Daphnia pulex: one gene and its partner. The protein of the gene in region 2 purifies or fractionates together with the protein of the main gene of each other region. This does not show direct contact. Links are inferred from orthologs where the notes say so. Each region holds a gene or a part of one and is shown on either strand. Other genes may lie near its edges.

Evidence for each region.
Region 1: the proteins of homologous-pairing protein 2 homolog (region 2) and meiotic nuclear division protein 1 homolog purify together in Homo sapiens (co-immunoprecipitation; 6 studies listed by BioGRID and IntAct, counting the BioPlex papers as one, with this or other methods). This does not show direct contact. The link is inferred for Daphnia pulex from reciprocal best matches to the Homo sapiens genes PSMC3IP and MND1.

What each region holds. Positions count from the first base shown.
Region 1 is NC_060018.1:2,102,941-2,106,195, forward strand, and holds meiotic nuclear division protein 1 homolog, read left to right. Parts: upstream 1-1,353; 5' UTR 1,354-1,483; coding exon 1,484-1,819; intron 1,820-1,898; coding exon 1,899-2,045; intron 2,046-2,105; coding exon 2,106-2,240; 3' UTR 2,241-2,449; downstream 2,450-3,255. Other genes in the region: retinol dehydrogenase 12-like, read left to right, coding at 1-166; probable N-acetyltransferase san, read right to left, coding at 249-414, 477-663, 724-860, 1,035-1,042. UniProt on the Homo sapiens protein: Required for proper homologous chromosome pairing and efficient cross-over and intragenic recombination during meiosis.
Region 2 is NC_060019.1:10,186,573-10,189,537, reverse strand, and holds homologous-pairing protein 2 homolog, read left to right. Parts: upstream 1-1,203; 5' UTR 1,204-1,291; coding exon 1,292-1,447; intron 1,448-1,514; coding exon 1,515-1,745; intron 1,746-1,810; coding exon 1,811-2,038; 3' UTR 2,039-2,155; downstream 2,156-2,965. Other genes in the region: carboxypeptidase E-like, read right to left, coding at 1-93, 152-348, 432-681; uncharacterized protein LOC124191075, read right to left, coding at 2,309-2,965. UniProt on the Homo sapiens protein: Plays an important role in meiotic recombination. Stimulates DMC1-mediated strand exchange required for pairing homologous chromosomes during meiosis.

The DNA of each region.
Region 1 (3,255 bases), on a different chromosome or scaffold from region 2:
TCAAACTCTGATCCACTGTGCAGTATCAGAGGAAACGGAAAATGAAACGGGACTTTTTTATCGTGACTGCAAGGTTTATCAAAGTCAACTTAAAGCTAGCTCAAATTCCACAATCATTAACAAATTATGGGAGCTAAGCTGTAAAATGTGTAAGATTGAATGGTAGTAATTTCAGTTCAATACAATTATTAGTAAAGTGACATGATCATTTCTGTATTATCAGTTACCTTAGCTTAACCTATCATAATTCATTTTTCTGGTTCACTAAGACTTCTTTGTGGCCTTAAAAGTTTCATCAGCACATGTGCATCAGCTGGCTCAATTCTCTTGTAGTATTGTTCTTTTGTTTCAACAATTTCAAAGCCAAATTTCTTGTAGAAGTCAATTGCACTTTGGTTGTTAACTTGAACATGGCTGTTTTGAAAAGTTAAGTCTTAAAAACATATTTTTTTTTCTCAATAATAAAATATAATTACAGAAAAATGCTATGAAAATCCCCATCCTTTTCCACGTAGTTTAGGACATGTTCCAACATTTTGGCACCAATACCCCTTTTCCTGTATGGAGCTAGGCATCCCAGGGTCATGATGTACAATCTTCTTGATCCATCTAAAATATCGATCCTACAGCATACAGCTCCCACCACAATGTCATTATAGTATGCTGCACAATAAAATGTGATAAATGTAAGGAGAAATAAAAGGAAAATCAAGTATGTGGTACCTAGCTTAGCCAATTCTCCTGCTTCTAGAATATCTTTATAGAACTTGTCGTTGTAGGAAACTGGAAATACCACTTGATTCAATCGTTTCAGTTGTTGTAGGTTGTGAGGTGTGACATCCCCCAGTTCTATTGTTGCCCTGAAATAAAATAATCCTTTGTAATTGTCATCGGCATGCAAAACGGGATATTCAGTGGCAGTCACACATACAGCTTGTTAAGACTTTAAGGTAAGCTATAATAGAGTTTGTTTTTAAAAACACTGTGTGGAATGCTTTACCAATTACTTCCCCAAAAACATTCAGTTTATTTACCTGGTCATTTTTGTTCCAGTCAAATTTCAAGGGGGCTCACGTTTTGATCGATGTGATTTCGGAAATTTACAGCAGACAGAACTCGAAACCGAAAAAACCCATGGTGCGGCGACGACATCGACAGATCAAAATTTTCATAAACAATATTTGCAATCATTCACAGTTTCAATAATAAAATTCCACGTTGCTAATAAAATGAATCGAAAAAATAAAAAAAAATCCATACGAAGTCCGTACGAATCAAACTTAAAAAAATTGCATTATCTGTGAATGCCTCTCAAGGTGGCTCAACTGGCAACGTCACAAGATTTTTTGAATTTCTCAGTTAAAATTCACTTGGTTAAAGAGTAGTAGTTAAACGTCAAGAAAACGTGTCGTCTCGTCTTATTACAATATAAATTTGAGGAAAAGAAGCTATTAAGTCAAACAGTTAAAATATTGACATTAAAATGACATCCAAAAAACGTGGACTTAGCCTGGAGGAGAAACGTAAAGGCATGATGGAAATTTTTTATGAAAAGAAAGACTTCTTCCAGCTTAAAGAATTAGAAAAAATTGCCCCAAAAGAAAAAGGAATTGTACAAGGAACAGTAAAAGATGTGATTCAAAGTTTGGTGGATGATGGAATGGTTGATACAGACAAAATTGGCACATCAATTTATTTCTGGGCCTTTCCTAGTAAGGCAATCAATGCAAAAAAACAGAAACTAGTGCAACTGGAAAATTCTAGTCAACAACTGAAGAAGTTGAGAGTTGATGTTGAAGCAAAGTTGGCAGAAAAAAGAGTAAGTTGAGGCGTCATTAGATAATTTTCTATCTTTTTTGTTTTTGTGCACTTAGACTTAACTGACTGTCGTAATTTAGGTTGGACAACAGGATGATGATACAAAAGACGAATTATTACAAAAGTTAAAGGAAGCACAAGTACAAAACGCTGAATTGAAAAGAAGTCTGATTGAATACCAAGAACTTGATCCTGATGAACTTGAAAAACTAAAAGCAGAATCTCAGGTGAGTCTTTCTTGTGTTGGCAGTTTCTTTCATAGTATATTATAGCAATTGCTCTCACAGGTTTCTTTGGAGGCTGCGAACCGTTGGACAGATAATATTTTCGCCGTCAAATCCTGGTGCAAATCAAAGTTTTTTATGGAAGATAACCAATTAAACAAAGCATTTGGAATTCCGGAAGAATTGGACTATTTGTAGAAGCCTCAAGAATGCTTTCTGTAAATAATTTAGAAGCATTGTTTAAAGCTTTTTGAATTCTTCCTTGTCTCTTTCCCATGTCCTTGACTGAATTCTGTAAGAACCTGGATACTTTCAACGATATTTTCCTAACATGTATAGTTTTCTGTGTAAAATACTTCAAATTTTGAAGTGCGTTTAATACAGAATTCCGTTTTTTTTTTCATTAACAGTGTTATTGTTTGGTCATTGATTGTCTACCAAAAACTTTAATAACAACACGGCGTATTATTTAGTTTCTATGAACAGATTAGAGAAACGTGAAAAAGTCGGAGTTATATGGTCGAGCTCTGACCATTCGGATTCTTACGTTTACTTTATTTCTTCTTGTTTACGTCTTGTGCTTATTTGTTTTGAAACTGATGTTCCTAGGATGGTAGTAGTTTCTAGCGTCTCGATAGGACAAATAGTGGAGAGCCTGTCTGCGCATCTGCCACATTTTATGCCTTTGCTTCCGAGTGGATAAAAACCACCACTTTTGCGCGCTGTCGACTCAGTGTTCAGCAATACACTCAATTGGCAACAGGTGAACCCTAGTATTTTAGATCTTTTCCCACATTGAATTTTAAAAGGTAAAACATAGCATTCTCATAGTAAGGAACGTAAATTAAGCTACATTTTTACCGTTCCGTGTATCGTAGAGTGCATGAACTTCTAGATTTCCATTTGATAATACGATTTTTGTTGTGTTTTGAACTCTTTTGCATATTAATGCAGTAGATCAAGTGCGTCATCATGTTACGCACTGTAGCATAAAAGTGTTTCAGTTCTCTAAAACATTACACATCCCCTGCGTGAAAATGTCTTTTATTTCATTTTTTTAAAGAATTTGTTACTACTAATTAGCGAATGGCGGTACGGTATCTTAGATATTGCTGATAATAGAGTAACTGTCATTGCGCAACCTGTCAAGGGTAAAGACGAAAAATTGGCTACTTGGATGCTTTACGTCAATTAATAAAGTGCAATCCAATCG
Region 2 (2,965 bases):
TTCAGAGTAAAGAAGGCGGTCAAGGTCGGGGAAGTCCCGGTTGAGATCGACACTGTTGTTGTTGGCTCGACCAATCAAGTAGTTATCTCCTCCCTTTGTTTAATTGTATAAGTTCGTGATCGTTTTCTCAAGTATTAAAATTAAAATTTACAGCAGCAGTGGCCATTTCCCAGCCATCTGGATTCATGCTGGGCATCAAGTGAATACGAGTCAAGTGGATCAGAGATCTAATGGACTCATTACCGGCCATATACTGTTCGCACAGGTAGTCGGCCATCTTTAGGAGAAGTTCCCGTCCCAAAACTTCATTTCCGTGCATATTGGCAATATATTTAAATTCTGGCTCCACTAGAGTAAAACAAAACAAAAAATAAATAAATAAGAAAATGTTACGGAATAATTTTTACAAGTCAAGATAGATAACAACTTACAGAGTTCATGGTATCCTGGCTCGTCCGAGAATTCAATCAACAGAAGTGGGTTTCCAGTAACCGAATTTTCACTGAGAGCGTACACTTTGGTGATATTTGGGCACCTGGAGTGAACGTCTTCCAAAATGGTTGCCAATTCTTCGTTGTTGTGGTGCTTGAATTGGAAAGCTGCTTGAACGACTGCCGGGGAAATCAAGACGATACAAAAAACAAGCGTCACCAAAGCTAAGCACATCTTCGATGCAGCCATCCCGTTTTAGTAATAGTTGCTGTACGACAAACACATCCAGCAAGATCCGCGGAAGGGCGCGCTCGAAAGGTCCTCTTATCTTTTTTCAACTGCAACTCCCACGCGAAGTCTTTCCTCGAGATATAGCCAGATACGCAGATGCTCACGCATAAGCTTGACAATCTATGAGACAAACAATACCGTGAGTCGTTCAAAGCGACTGCGCATAGGCGACTGGATCCCACCTTCCTATTTATCGATCCACTGCCTTGGTTTTTCTTTCATTTACGGTTCTGTCTCATCCATCCCCATCCATCATTCATTCCCGCGACCCACATTAAAACAATTTGTTCATAAAATGTTAATCGAATATTGCATTCGTTAACGTCACTAAAAATTTATAAAAGTACAAAAATGGCTAGAAACATGGCAGAGCTATAGAATACTTCGTTAGAATGTTTTTTTTTATTTCAAATTTAAAAAAATTTTAGTTGAAAGAAATTATTAGTTTTTAAAATCTGGCAACATCTAGAGCACGTTGAGACTTGAGATTTGAGAAGGCGGTTTCTAGTCTTCGACTTTCAACACGTTTCACAACAGTTGCATGATTTTCAACGAATAAAACTAAAAAATGGCTAAAGAAAGCAAGGATAAAACAAGTACAGCTGTATTACAGTACTTTATCATGCAAAACAGGCCATTTGCTGTCAACGATCTTTTACAAAGTGCACAGCTTAAAGATTTTGGGAAGGCTGCTGTTCAGAAAACATTGGATCAATTTGTTGTGGTATTTGGGAGTAGTTTCATTTTTATTGCTTTCTTATGTTGTAGAATTTCGTCTTTGTTACATTTAGGCTGGGAAAGTAATGGAAAAGATTTATGGAAAACAGAAAGTTTATGCCATTAACCAAGATCTGGTTTCGTCACCTGCTGGTGACTTGAATATCGCTGAAATAGATGCTAAAATATCTGAACTCACAAGACAGAATGTAGAAGATGAGGCTTTCATTAAAAAAGCTGAAAGTGAGCTGAAAATTCTGAACTCTACATTGTCGATAGCAGAAGCTACTTCTCAACTGAAAATGGTATTTTGTTTTCTATTTTGTTTACTTATTATGTTCTTTGAGGTGAACTTGTCTTTGTTTTGCAGCTGTGTGAAGAAAATGAAACAATGGAATCAAAGCTAAAGGATTTGTCCCAAAATAAAGTGAAACTTTCTGCTGCTGACTTCAAGAAAGCGTGTGTAATAAAGGAAAAGACTGCATCTGAGTTACGAAAACGAAAGAGGATATGTGGAGATATGCTTGACCAGATTTTGGAAAGCTACCCCAAGGGAAAAAAAGCTTTGCTCGAAGAAGTTGGAGTAGAAACTGATTAAGAAAACTGTATTGTCCCTTTCACCAAACCAAATATTCTCTTCTGTTGTCCAAGGGTTTGGTAACATTATTTTAAAACAAGTTCATTATTGATGTTTCAATATATCATTTATTCAGGACATGTACCAAAGCCTTACATTCTGAAGAATTTCATCTATGGTTTACAAAAATTAAAGATTGGTGTGTCAAACAACGAAAATTAGCGTAGGAAACTGTGCCGGTATAAAATTTAAACAAAGACATCACACTTTGTCGAAGGACTTTGGTATATATCAGACTGTAATGGGAGCCTCACCCACTTTGGTCAAGGATAAAGCATTTGCGGCCATGGGAACAAGATACTCTTTAGGAACAAGACCTTTCCTGTTTCTTGCTTGGACTAGCCAGCTGGCTCCGCTTTTGGTGAGCACCTGAACAATTTCTCCACTGTTAATCGATAACTCCAAATTGTTTGTAGCGACGTACGCCCATCTGGCTTTGTATAGTTCTTTCTTAGGTTTACTGATAATCGTAACGGTTGAATCATTCAAATTTTTTGATTCAGTTGGAAGTTGTCCAGAGGCTACTTCCTCGTTTTTCATCACACGCCGCATAAGCTTTCGATTCAGCTCATCTGCTAAATTTATGGATTCGCCCGTCTTAATGGTCAAAGGCGAACGAATGGGCGCAGGGGGTCTTGGAGGTGGCTCTCTTTTGTTACTGTTAGAGTTGTCAATATTGCTAGCTTTTACTCCGGGATTAAAAGTAGAATAGGACATTTTCCCCTGTTTACCCCCTGTTTCTTTGATTCCGGTCAATGATCCATTTACATTGGCAACTTTAGCTTTGAAAGCAGATGGCTTTATCATTTGAATGTCGCCTCCATTTTTTGAAGAAGCCAATAATTCCGTCAAAGACGCCAACGGTGCTCGTTGTGGTGATATTCGCGA